2 linked regions of the Anolis sagrei genome follow. The protein of the gene in region 2 purifies or fractionates together with the protein of the main gene of each other region. This does not show direct contact. Links are inferred from orthologs where the notes say so. Each region holds a gene or a part of one and is shown on either strand. Other genes may lie near its edges.

What was found. Proteins that work in one complex are often made in the same cells at the same time.
Region 1: the proteins of ITGA6 (region 2) and CD151 purify together in Homo sapiens (co-immunoprecipitation; 3 studies listed by BioGRID and IntAct, with this or other methods). This does not show direct contact. The link is inferred for Anolis sagrei from reciprocal best matches to the Homo sapiens genes ITGA6 and CD151.

Annotation. Positions count from the first base shown.
Region 1 is NC_090021.1:241,272,364-241,279,378, forward strand, and holds the start of CD151 (CD151 antigen), read left to right. Parts: upstream 1-4,006; 5' UTR 4,007-4,187; intron 4,188-7,015. UniProt on the Homo sapiens protein: Structural component of specialized membrane microdomains known as tetraspanin-enriched microdomains (TERMs), which act as platforms for receptor clustering and signaling.
Region 2 is NC_090021.1:193,438,598-193,445,768, forward strand, and holds the start of ITGA6 (integrin alpha-6), read right to left. Parts: upstream 3,010-7,171; 5' UTR 2,897-3,009; coding exon 2,730-2,896; intron 1-2,729. UniProt on the Homo sapiens protein: Integrin alpha-6/beta-1 (ITGA6:ITGB1) is a receptor for laminin on platelets. Integrin alpha-6/beta-1 (ITGA6:ITGB1) is present in oocytes and is involved in sperm-egg fusion.

The DNA.
Region 1 (7,015 bases), about 48 Mb from region 2:
GAGACTAGGACATGGACAATGGCTTCAAACTACAGGAAAGGAGATTCCACCTGAACATTAGGAAGAACTTCTTAACTGCGAGAGCTGTTCTGCTCCGGAGAGCTCTCTGCCCCGGTGTGTGGTGGAGGCTTCTTCTTTGGAGGCCATCTGTCAGGGGTGCCTTGAAGGCGATTTTCCCTCGTCTTGGCAGGGGGTTGGACAACTGGATGGCCCACAAGGTCTCTATGATTCTATGAGACCCAGGATCTCTTTGGCTGAGCAATTTAAAGGCCCTAAACTATAAGCCCCAGAATTCTGCAGGAGGCAGAAACTGGATTTAAAGTGGATTCATGCTCTAGTGTGACGAGGTCTGATTATAGCCAATAGACAATGATAGCCAATAGACAATTATAGCCAATAGAGAGATTGCCTTTTTATAGCAGCTGCACATGATGCTATCATTGAGCTATCTACTAAGATCGCTTTCTTGGTCACTCATTGATCAGCAGGAATCTTGACAATGTAAATGCAAATTAGGGATCATTTACCCCAAAGTGTTAGATGAAGCCATTTGCTTTAGCAGATGAACTCAAGTTGCACATTTAAAGAATGTTCCTCAATACAACTATTAAAAACATATCACGTATTTCAGTTACGATCCCTTCTACTAAAAATATTACTATCTACAAACTATTAATGTTTATTGTGAAGTTCAGTGGTGAATGTAGCATAGCAATAGCAGCAGCAATCCACTTTTACAAGTGTATTTAGAGGACAGCAGAACGTAATAGCAAAGGATTTGTTGTTGTTCATTCGTTCAGTCATCTCTGACTCTTCGTGACCTCATGGACCAGCCCACGCCAGAGCTCCCTGTCGGCCGTCACCACCCCCAGCTCCTTCAAAGCAAAGCAAAGGATACTGGACTTATTAAAAAAAATAGAAATACAAAGTATTTTGGAGACTATAACTTTTTGAGTGCTTATTTCAAGCCCAAGGCGTGTATGAAAAAAACAATTTTAATTTTAATTTGGAAATCTCACTGTAAATTATGCTGCAGTTCAGCAAACAGCTCTTGCCTTCACTCAGTAATCACCATAATTTTGTAAAGAATCAGAGCAAAGGCTGATCTAGTCTAACATTGTTTGTACAGCGGCTAATTAGATGCCAACGGAAAGCCATATCAGGAAATGAATGCATTAGTATTCCCTGCTTATGTCCCCTAGCAACAGGTACACAGAGGCATACTGATTTGGAGACTGTAATATATAGCCACCATGCCTAGTAGCCATTTTTAGCCCTTTGCTCCATAAATTACTTTAAACTTTTTAAATACTCATCCAAGATGGTAGCAAATGTTCTAGTTTTACTATGCACTATGTAAAGAAATACAATACAATCCCCTTATCCATGGGGTGGATATCCAGTTTCACTTCTCCCTGCTCCAAAACATATTCTACCTGGGAGTGTTGGCGGACCTCTCTCTCCAACGTGATTCTATGATATGCTTCCTGCTGAAATATAGTCAAAATGTAGGGTTTGCTATTAGCCACAGTTTAAGACATCCATAGGAGTCTTGGAACATATCCCCTGAGGATAAGGAGGTCATACGGTACTACTTTTTATCCATTCTTAATCTACAATTACATTTGGTTTCATTAGATTACCCTAGGTTCTAGTACTGCGAGAAATATCTGACTCATTTCTCTATTTTTTTGTGGGCACATTATGTCCGATTTATAGGGGCCTGAAGGGAGGATTTTCTTGGCAAGATTTGTTCAGAGGAGGTCTGCCTTTGCTATTCTCTGAGGCCTCTTTTACACTGCCATATAAAATCCAGAATATCTGCTTTGAACTGGATTATATGGCAGTGTAGACTCATATAATCCAGTTCAAAGCAGATAATGTGGATTATCTGATTTGATAGAAGCTTCAGTGCTGCAATGGGTTAAACCCTTGTGCTGGTTGAACTGCTGACCTGAAGGTCGGTGGTTTGAATGTGCGAGGTGGGGTGAACTCCCATCTGTCAGCTCCAGCTTCCCATGTGGGGACATGAGAGAAGCCTCCCACAGGATGGTAACACATCCAGGCGTCCCCTGGCCAAATACACAGTATTTCAAATTTAAAAGTCTCACCATAGATTTCTGTAGGGAAATATATTGGTAGTTTTATTTCCAACTCCTTTTCTAGATTTCACTCTCAGGCCCTTTCCACACAGCTGCATATATCCCAGTTCAAAGCAGAAAATGTGGGATTTTATTCAGCTGTGTGGAAGGGGCCTTGAAATGAACCTCATAAGACATTTTAATACACATCCCTGCAGTATAAACAGCCTTTTCGCTCTTTGCAACCTTTTTTGTTCTAAGTACCTAAATAATTTGGCATCCCCAGAAAATCCTGACTATATTCTTGCTCCTCCCAAGTTTTTTAGGAAGTTAAAAAGTCCCAGAGACCATGATTATATCCCTCCATTATGAGCACCCACTATTATGGCAACCCCACGAATCTCATGTTTGTTTTTTTCAGGCAGGGGATACTTGGGGTGGTTTTGCCAGCACCTTCCTCTGAAATAGAGCCTATAGACAGGCATGGGCAAACTTGGGCCCTCCAGGTGTTTTGTACTTCAACTCCCACAATTCCTGGCCTCAGACCCCTTCCTTTTCCCCCTCAGTTGAGGCCAGGAATTGTGGGAGCTGAAGTCCAAAACACCTGGAGGGCCCAAGTTTGCCCATGCTTGGTATAGCACCTATATTTGTTGGCAATATCCCATCCAAATACTCACTAGCGCTCACCCTCTTTAGCTTCTGAGATCAGATGGTGACTGGTGCCTTTTGGGGTGTTGAGGCAGGTCACTTCTTCTCTCTACCAAACTCTGGTCCTCCAGATGTTTTCAACTTCATCTCCTAGAACTTTAACAGATTGCTAAAGGCAGCTGAAGCTTCTGCGAGTTGGCAGTGCTAAACATTGGGTATTTAGCTGGTTCTCCTTACGCTTCCTAGAACCTGTCTCCTCTCCATCCCTTTCCTCCTGCTCTCTGCCAAACTGTGGTCCTCCAGGTGTTTGGGACTTCATCTCTGAGAATCCCTGATAGTTAGTCAAGGCAGCTGAGGCTTCTGGGAGATGAAGTCCCAAACACCAGGAGGAGGAGGAGGAGGAGGAGGCGAGTTTGGGAGCCCCTACTTTGGGATATTTACCTGGTTCACCTTACTCTTCCTAGAACTCGGCTCCTCCCTATCCCTTTCCTCCTGATCTCTGCCAAACTGTGGGACTTCATCTCCCAGAATCCCTGATAGTCAAGGCAGCAGAGGTTTCTGGGAGATGAAGTCCCAAATACTAGGAGGAGGAAGAGGAGGAGGAGTGTTTGGGAAGCCCTGCTTTGAGGTATTTAGCTGGTTCACCTTACCCTTCCTAGAACCCGGCTCCTCTCCATCCCTTTCCTCCTGATCTCTGCCAGACTGTGGTCCTCCAGGTGTTTGGGACTTCATCTCCCAGAATCCCTGACAGTTAATTAAGGCAGCTGAGGCTTCTGGGAAATGAAGTCCCAAAAACCAGGAGGCGAGTTTGGGAACCCCTGTTTTGGGGTGTTTAGCTGGTTCATCTTTCTTACCCTTCCTAGAACCCAGCTCCTCTCCATCCCTTTCCTCCAGGTGTTTTGTACTTCAACCCAGAATCCCCGATAGTCAAGGCAGCTGAGGTTTCTGAGAAATGAAGTCCCAAACACCTGGAGGAAGAGGGGGAGAGGAGAGTTTGAGACCCCTGCTTTGGGATGCTTAGGCGGGCCACCAGGGCCCTCTTCTCCCAGAGCCAGACTCATCTGCCATCCTCTCCTCCTCTTCCTTTCCCCACTTTCCCCAAACTCTAGTCCTCCTGTGGACGACCTCTCCCAGCATCCTTGATGATTGTGCAAGGCTGCCGAGACCTCGGGGGGGGGGGGGGGGGCGAGCGTGGGTGAAGCCCTGCTTGGGGGCCTTGGGGCGGACCTCGCAGGGCCCAAAGGCGCCCTCCCCTCTCCTTCCCGGGCTCCGTGGGCGGGGCCAGGAGGGCTCCCTCCCGCTGGGCGTCCCCACCGGCGGCGAAGAGAGGCCCGAGCTGGCTCCATCCGCCAAGAGGGCTGGCTGGCTGGCCTTGGGAGGAAGAGGAGCAGGAAGGAAGGCAGGCAGCGGGGGAGCGGCTTTGCCTTTGCGCTGCGCCAGGACTCGCCGGGAGACAAGGTGCGCCGAGGGGGAGCCCTGCAGGAAGGGAGGTGGGGGGCGCAGGGGAGAGCGGGGCCCTTCTTTCCATGGTGGGGATCCAGCCTGGCTTCTTGACCCATTTCAAGAGGCCGGGAAGGACCCGCGACTCGCCCGGCAAACTTCCAGAAAGTGGGTCCCCCCCCCCCCCCCCCCGCCTTGCCTCCCTTTGTCTCTCCGGATGTCTTTGTGAGGCAAGGAAGTGGCCTGCTCAGCCCACGGGTTGAGTCAGATTGCAAAGCAGCCAAAGGTTAACCTGGTTCACATTTCTCTTAAAATCTCCCTGGGAGGGAATCTCTAACTCATGATTTCGGGATCCAGGTGTGGTCTTCTGCCCCTGCGGCGGGTTTTTCCTCCTCTTCCCTTCTTGTAAATCTCAGGCGGTCTACGTTGGGTGGGCTGCCTTGCTTTGTTTTGGGAATGGGAAAGATCACCCAGCCCAACAACAAAACATTCCTGGTTTCTAAGGGGAGGGGGAAAAGGAAGGGGCCTGAGGCCAGGAATTGGGGGAGTTGAAGTTCAAAACACCCGGAGGGCCCAAGTTTGCCCATGCCTGTCTATAGGCTGTATTTCAGAGGAAGGTGCTGGCAAAACCACCCCAAGTATCCCCTGCCTGGAAAAAAATGAAATTCATGGGGTTGCCATATTTAGGGTGCCCACTGGATAGACCGCATCACCTTTAGTGTCTTAGGCAGGCACGGGCAAACTTGGGCCCTCCAGGTGTTTTGGACTTCAACTCCCACAATTCCTAACAGCCTACCGTTGAAGTCCAAAACATCTGGAGGGCCCAAGTTTGCCCGTGCCTGCTCTTAGATATCGTTGTCAAGATTTCTTATGGGCAGGCAGATGGCGACTGGTAAATAGTACATATTCCCCAAATAAATAGTTCCCCAAATAATTCGCCCCCCCCCAATTTGATCCATAATCAGATCCCTTTTAGAGACATAGTGCTCCCCTTACATTGCCACCAAGTTTCTAATCTTGTCATCTGCCCTCAGCACTTGATCCATCAGCCCCAACCCCTTTGCAAGGGATTTGCACCAGCCGCCGCCTGAGCTCAGAACTGTGCACTACTCAGACCACCTGATCTTATTTTTCTGGTTATTTAATATTTAATGTTTATTTTACTTAAGTGGTATTTGTCTTTACTGTTCTAATGTAGCACAAATCCGATGTAAAATCATACTACGTATTTTTGACATTAATATTGAAATCTGAAATATATACAGAAACTCCTTGCTAGATAGATGTTTGCTATGTATTGTATCACACGTGGTTGTTTCTATACTGTTGAGATGCTTTTGTGAATTTTGTTGTTATATTTTAACTACTAGCTGTACCCACCATGCATTGCTGTGGCCAATCTTCCTCTTTCTTTCCTTTCTTTCTCTCATTCCTTCCCTCTCTCTTTCCTTCTTTCCCTTTTTTCTTTCCTTCTTTCCTTCCTTCTCTTGATCTTCCCTTCCTCCCCCCTTTCTATTCCTTACTCTTTCTCTCATTTCTTCCTTCTCTACCTATTCTTGGACTGCAGCTCCCACCAGTCCTTTTGATCAATCTACCTACCTACCTATCTCCATCTAATCTATCTATCTATCTGGAGGATTGCTGGGAGTTGCACTCCAGGAATAGGAAATTGTAAATATGCAGGAATTGGGATGCTCTCAAAGAAATCTAGGGAGAAGAAAGCTTTGTATCTTAGAAGCAGTGCATTTGGATCATCCTCCTCTCCTAAAGGGCCTGGTCTAGGGAATGCTGGGAGCTGTCATCCGGAAGAGAGTGTGGATATGCTATTGTGTGTTTTGTTTAGTGGGGGGGGGGGGGTGTGGGAGGGAGTTTTTATGAGTGATGGTCACTCGTTGGCCTGATAGGCATATTGTGTCCAAATTTGGTGTCAATTTGCCCAGCGGTTTTTGAGTTATGTTCATCCCACAAACAAACATTACATTTTTATTTATATAAATGTGGAATCTCGAGCATGTAAGCCACCCCAAGTCCCTTCAGGGAGATGGAGGCAGGGTACAAAAATAAAGTTGTTGTTGGTGGTGTTATTATTCTGTATTTCAAAAACTAGATCCAATGAGAAAAAAATTGTGCCATCTTTGGAATCAGTAGGTCAAATCTACAGAGAAACAGGGCTAACATTTGAGGCACCAAAATATGTGTGGCCAGTGTAATCTTTCTCTGCCCACACCTAGCCAAGCTTGTGGTTCTCAACCTGGGGTCCCCAGATGTTTTTGGCCTTCAACTCCCAGAAATCCTAACAGCCGGTAAACTGGCTGGGATTTCTGAGAGCTGAAGGCCAAAAACATCTGGGGACCCCAGGTTAAGAACCACAGACAGTCCCCCAGTTACAAAGTTTTACAAAGTCCCCAAGTGTTTCCACTTTCATAGGTGTCCTGAACCCTTAACCTCACCAAATGAGGAAGGAAGGATGGCTGTACAGGAAGTCCCCAAGTTACAAGCAACATAGGTTCTGTAGGTTTGATCATCAGTTGAATTTGTATGTAAGCCGGAACAGGTAAATTTTAAAGTATAACTCCTGCCTACACACACACACATGCATTCACACACATATGCATATACATACAACTTTGGCTAGCATAGGGAAGGGTTAACAGCCCTGTGGTGTTTGTTTTGCTGTATGTTCCCCTGTTGAGAAGATGTCACCTCACTTTCTGTCCCTGTAGTAATTTGATTTTGAAAAATGTGGCTTAGTAACAAGGATTGGTAAGAAAACTTCAGTTGAGACACCTTTTCCCCATGATAACTTTTTCAGGGGTGAACTTCCCTTCCAAGGGGTAGATTTTTCT
Region 2 (7,171 bases):
GGTCCATATACAGATTCCTCAGGATAATTTATGCTACAACACCTTTAAAACTCCCTCCCTGAAATGAAGTGCATAAACCAGCAACATGATGAAAAGAAACTGAAGTCAAAAGTCTCCTGGTCGCTCAAGAGAACCATATCTGAAGACACCACAGAGAAGGAAAGGCTTCCTCCTTCTCCTCCCACTGTGTTTCATCTTCTGCTCTCAGTGGTGGCACAGTGGTTAAACCCCTGTGCCGGCAGGACTGAAGACCGACAGGTCGCAGGTTCGAATCTGGGGAGAGGCGGATGAGCTCCCTCTATCAGCTCCAGCTCCTCATGCGGGGACATGAGAGAAGCCTCCCACAAGGATGATTAAAACATCAAATCATCCGGGCGTCCTCTGTCCTTGCAGATGGCCAATTCTCTCACACACTTGCAGTTTCTCAAATTGCTTCTGACACGACCAAAAAAAGTGGTGACGCAGTGGGTTAAACCCTTGTGCCTGCAGGGCTGCTGACCAACAAAACGAAGGTTCCAATCCGAGGAGAGTGGGTTGAGCTCCCTCTGTCAGCTCCAGCTCCACATGCGGGGAGATGAGAGAAGCCTCCCACAAGGATGGTAAAACATCAAAACATCTGGGCATTCCCTGGGCAATGTCCTTGCAGACTGCCAATTCTCTCACGCCAAAAGTGACTTGCAGTTTCTCAAGTTGATCCTGACACTGAAAAAAATCTTCAAAGCAGGCACATTCCACCAGAGCCTTTCCACCTTGGCATCCTGTCTTTTCAAGTTGCTTTTCCTCCCAGGACAACCACCTCATTGGCTTGTTTTGGGCCCGCCTTTTGGCGCTGGGTTGCTGAGCTGACCTGCGAGGCTCGCCTTCCCTTCAGGGGAGGCTGCTTGTGTTGCTCTGCCCACACAACACACACCCAACACACACACACACCCTGAAGCCTTCACATTCTTGGTTAAGGATGCCAAGCCTATTGGGCTGGGCTGTTTTGTTGTGTTTTGAATCTGCTTCGGAATCTTGTTTCTTTTAATATGGCGCTGTGTGAAATCAGGTAGCACTTCCGGAAAACAAACGTTTTTGCAACATCTACAACAGGTAGGGGCAAACTTCGGCCCTCCTGGTGTTTTGGACTTCAACTCCCACAATTCCTTATTGTGGGAGTTGAAGTCCAAAACACCAGGATGGCCGAAGTTTGCCCCTACCTGTTGTAGATGTTGCAAAACCTTTTGCTCGACGTTAGTTAGTAACCAGACAACACATTCCTCACAAAGCGCGGGAAAGGAGGGAAAAGAGCTCTGTGGAATTACCAACCGAGCCTCGAATACCGGGTTGAAACTGCTCTAAATGGAAAGCGTAGATACTAGGGTCATAGCTCTCAATGCTTGATCAGTCCCATGATTTTGCCTCCATTCCTCATCTGTTGTTGTTGTTTTTTTCTCCTCAGATCTGAGCATGCGCTTGCAAACAGGTGGCTTCTCCGAGGTTTCAGTTCAAATAAAACAGACGCAGCCAAACACTTAAGCACGACTTCCAGGGTTTTGTTTTTTTCCCCTTGTCAGGAGCGACTTGAGAAACTGCAAGTCGCTTTTGGTGTGAGAGAATTGGCCGTCTGCAAGGACGCTGCCCAGGGGACGCCCGGATGTTTTGATGTTTTACCCTCCTTGTGGGAGGCTTCTCTCAAGTCCCCGCGTGGGGAGCTGGAGCTGACAGAGGGAGCTCATCCGCGCTCTCCCCGGATTGGAACCTGCGACCTGTCGATCTTCAGTCCTGCCGGCACAAGGGTTTAACCCAGTGTGCCACCGGCGTTGGAAGGTAGGGATCAAGGCCCCACTCCGGCGGAAGTGGGTCCAGCCTCTCCCCTTCCCTCCTTCCACACCTCCCTTCCCAGAGATGGAAAAGGCGCGACTCAAAAGCCAAAAGAGTTTGGAGCCCAAGTTTCCAATCCTACACTCACAGAGAGCCCCCAAAGGCCATCCAGTCCAACCCTTTTCCCTGCAGGGAAAGAACAAGACGATCCCTTCAAAAATGCCAGCCTGATCTGCTTTTAGAAGTCCAAAAAAGCTCCCAAATTGCAACGCCTTGGTGGGACTGGTTCTAAATATAGGGGAAAACTCGTGGTTAGAGTGGGTCCAGCCTAAAAAGGATCAGGTGAGACTCAGGGCCCTTCCACACAGCCCTATATCCTAGGATATCAAGGCAGAAAATCCCAGAAGATCAGCCTGGAACTGGGTTAACTGAGGGTCCTTCCACACAGCCATATAACCCAGAAGATCAAGGCAGAAAATCCCCCAATATCTGCTTGGAACTGGATTATCCGAGGGTCCTTCCACACAGCCATATATCCCAGGATATCAAGGCAGATAATCCCACAAGATCAGCCTGGAACTGGGTTATCTGCGGGCCTTTCCACACAGCCATATAACCCAGAACATCAAGGCAGAAAATCCAATATCTGCTTTGAACTGACCCTTCCACACAGCCCTATATCCCAGGATATCAAGGCAGAAAATCCCACAAGATCTGCTTTGAACTGGGTTATCTGAGTCCACACTAATGTGGGGTTTCCTGCCTTGATGTACAAGGTCCTGGGAGCTCCCAATGGCCACCGCCATCCACGCCAACCTGGGCACTCAGGTCTGAGTTGGGCAGGAGTGAAGTCCAGCCAAGCAGCCTCTAGAGGTATGCAAAGGCAGAGACCTCTCTATCTATGTGTACACTCTGGTGCTCCTACTCACAGCCTCCTCTCCTGCGGCTCCAGCTGCCGGTGCATGGCCAGGGAGAAGCCGAAGAGGCTTCCGGGCTCGCCGCTCCACAAGACCACATTGCCGACGTCCAGGTTGAAGGCGAGCGCCAGCCCCGGGAGGAGGGACAGGTACAAGGCGGGCGGCGGCCGAGGCAGCATGCTTAAGGGTCCCTGGAAGGGCCGGAGTCCCGCGGAGGAGAAGAAGAAGAAGAAGAGGCCCCGGGCTCACGGCTGCCTCCCTCTCTCCCTCCCTCCCTCTGAATGAGCCCCTTGTTCTCTCCAGAGACTCGCTCCCAGTGACGAAGGAGGGGCCGAGCTCCGCCCCCACAAACAGGCGCCGCCCCCTTGAAACCTCGCCCCCAACCTCGCCTCGCACTCTGGAGCAGACCCACGAGAGTCAGGCGGATCCACTGCGCGGTCGGCGCTCCTCCAGGGACGGATCCCAGGGCTTGTTGGGGGTTTCAGGTGGGAAAGCAAAATCTACTTGGCAGCTCCCGTGTGGACGGGAATCAACCACACTATGATCATAATATCATAATCATAATAATACATTTTGGGTTGCTGTGACTTTTCCGGGCTGTCTGGCCATTTCCCAGAAGCATTATCTCCTGACGTTTCGCCCACATCTGTGGCAAACATCTTCTGAGGTTGTGAGGTCTGTTGGGAACTAGGCAAGTGGGATTCATATGCATGTGGAATAATGTCCAGGGTGGGAGAAAAGTATATGTATGACTTTTCCGGGCTGCGTGGCCATGTTCCAGAAGCATTCTCTCCTGACGTTTCGCCCACATCTATGGCAGGCATCCTCAGAGGTTGTCAGGTCTGTTTGAAACTAGGCAAGCGGGGTTTATATGCATGTGGAATAATGTCCAGGGTGGGAGAAAAGTATATGAGTTTTCCAGGCTGCGTAGCCATGACCCAGAAGCATTCTCTTCTGACGTTTCGCCCACATCTATGACAGACATCCTCAGAGGTTGTCAGGTCTGTTTGAAACTAGGCAAGTGGGGTTTATATGCATGTGGAATAATGTCCAGGGTGGGAAAAAAGTATATGAGTTTTCCGGGCTGCGTGGCCATGTTCCAGAAGGATTCTCTCCTGACGTTTCGCCCACATCTATGGCAAGCATCCTCAGAGGATGTCAGGTCTGTTGGAAACTAGGCAAGTGGGATTCATATATCTGTGGAATAATGTCCGGGGGGGGGGCGGGGGGGGGGGCGGAAACAACTCTTGTCTCTTTGAGGCAAGTGTGAATGTTGCAATTAATCACCTTGATTAGCATTGAATAGCCTTGCAGCTTCAAAGCCTGGCTGCATCCTGGCTCAAAGAACTGAACTCACGGTGGTACCAAAGAATAAGTCCATTAACTCCTCTATGTGGCAGCCTTTTGACTATTTGGAAACCACTGTCTCTCCAACCCCCTCCTTTTATGTCCCTTCACCCAAAGAGGGTTGATTGACAGGAAGAGAAGGACGGGCCTTTTCTGTGGGAGTTGTGGAATTCCATCCCACTGAGGCGAAGACTAGCTTCACCCTTCATTGCATGTGAAGTGAACCATGAAAATATTATTTTTCTGCTTGGGATGGCATGATCCTTAAAATAGGTTTTAATTCTAATGCTTTTAATATATAGTTTTAATCTAGTGTTGATTTTTATGTTTTATTCAGTGTTATTCTTTCTTTGTAAGCTGCTTTAGAGGAACTTGTTGGAGTTGAAAATCTTATCCACTGGGATACGGTTCCAGTATGCCAAAATTTATGTATACTCAAGTCATTATATGCAATGACATAGTTCAGTGGTTCTCAACCTCCCTAATGCCACAACCTCTTAATACAGTTCCTCATGTTGTGGTCACCCCCAACCATAACATTATTTACGTTGCTACTTCATAACTAATTTTACTACTGTTATGAATCGTAAGGTAAAATATCTGATTGCAGGGTGTATTTTAATTCACTGGACCAAATTTGGCACACATACCTGATGCGCCCAAATTTGAATAGTGATGGGGTGGGGGTGGGGATTGATTTTGTCATTTGGGAGTTGTAGTTGCTGGGATTCATAGTTCACCTACAATCAAAGAGCATTTTGAACTCCACCAATGATGGAATTGAACCAAACTTGGCACACAGAACTCCCATGACCAACAGAAAATACTGGAAGGGTTTGGTGGGCATTGACCTTGAGTTTGGGAGTTGTAGTTCACCTATATCCAGAGAGCACTGTGGACTCAAACAATCATGGATCTGGACCAAACTAGGCACAGATACTCAATATGCCCAAATATGAACACTGGTGGAGTTTGGGGAAAATAGACCTTGACATTTAAGAGTTGTAGTTGCTGGGATTTATAGTTCACCTACAACCAAAGAGCATCCTGAACCCCACCAATGATAGAATTGGGCCAAACTTCCCACACAGAACCCCCATGAACAACAGAAAATACCATGTTTTCTGATGGTCTTTATCAACCCCTCTGACATCCCCTCCCCACTCACCCAGGCGTCCCTACCCCCAGGTTGAGAAATGCTGGAATAGTAAAATTGGGTTCCCTTCTATAAAATAGCAAAATTGAAGTGTATGTGTGTGTGAATATTTACTAGACGTGGAAGGTTGAATACTTGGATATGGGGATTCTCTCATATGTGTGTTTATTTCTTACCATACACAGTTTCAGTCCCCTTTTGCCTTCACAATAATCATGAAAGGCTATTTCAAAGACAGCAGCTCTCCCATGGTCACACATTGAGCTTCAAGGCTGAGCAGTAATTTGAACTGGGATTTTCCCATCCTTGGCTGCCCTTCGAATCCCCAATCTGTACAACGCATTGGCTGTTAATGAGAGCTAGGCCACAACATGTCTCATGAATGAGCTCCTTGTGCTCGCTCAAGCCAAAAACCCAAAGCCAACATGAAACTCTGAGTGGTTCCACATCCTTTGCTAATAGGTATATCGGTGTTGTGTTGACCTTTTCTGCTGCAAATGCCTAAGGCAGTTTTCTCCAACTTGGCATCCTGTGTTTCCCAGTGTAATATGTCTTTTTCAAAGTTTTTAAGGTGTTGTATTGATCTAATGGAACTATTCCATATTACTTTATTGTTCTTTTAATTGCACGTTCTTCATTGTTTTAATATTCTGAATAGTTGAATAAAGACAGTCCTTATGCTCTTAAGTTGAATTTGTATGTAAGTCAGAACAGATACATTTTAAAGTGTAGTTCCATATGTATTGCTGGAGCATGTAAAATCAGTTAGTGAGTGTGTTAACTGAGAAAGTTAATTGGTTGGGCTACACCCAAGAAATTAGCTGAGTCTGGGAGTTTAGGCAACAGTTACATTTTAAGGTTTTCTGTGCAAGAGCTTACCAAGGCAGTTAATATTTTCTGCTTCTGGGCTGCTAGAAGATGATCCTTCATATGGACACCTAAAGACCATTTGAATCTCTCTCAAAGGACATTGTGTGAGTCAATGTAACTGTTCACATGACTATATATATGTTGCTCTGCATAACAAAGAGTAAACACCTTATTCTTTACTGATCATCAGCATATCTTTTCTCTAGCAAGACAGTGTGTGGACTGGTAAAGATGTGAACTACGCGTGATTTTCATTCCGCCACATATATTACCTTTAGATAGCACAGGGAAGGATTAACACCCTCTAGTATTTGTTTTGCTGTCTGTGCCTCTGTTCAGAAGATTTCTGGCTCTCTGATCATTGGATTTTGAAAATTTTGGCTTGTTGTGGAAACAAAGGTTAGAGATAAAGTGTCCGTGGAGGCACCTTTTCCCCATGATAACAACAAGGACTGAATTTCCCTTCCTAGGGGTAGATTTCTCTCATTTCATGTTGTCTCATCCCCATTCCTAACTAGGAGTCATTTGTAAGTCAAATGTTCCTAGCTTGGGAATAGCTTATACTAATGTTGAGTTGTTGTGAGTTTTCGGGACTGTATGGCCATGTTCCAGAAGCATTCTCTCCTGACATTTCACCTGCATCTATGGCAGGCATCCTCAGAGGTTGTGAAGTCACAACCTCTGAGGATGCCTGCCATAGGTGCAGGCAAAATGTCAAGAGAGAATGCTTCTGGAAAATGGCCAGACAGCCTGGAAAAGTCACTGCAACTCAAAATGAATTATTATAATTATGATTATGATTATTGTGATCATAGTGCGTGGCTGCACCCTGAGACATTGATTCCCGACCACACCGGAGCTGCAAAGTAGCTTACTTTCCCACCTGAAAACCCCAAAAAGCCCTGGGATCCGTCCCTGGAGGTGCGCCAACCCCACAGTGGATCACAACCTCTGAGGATGCCTGCCATAGATGCAGGCGAAACATCAGGAGAGAATGCTACTGGAACATGTCCATACAGCCCGGAAAACTCACAACAACCCAGTCATTCCGGCCATGAAAGCCTTCGACAATACATTGTAC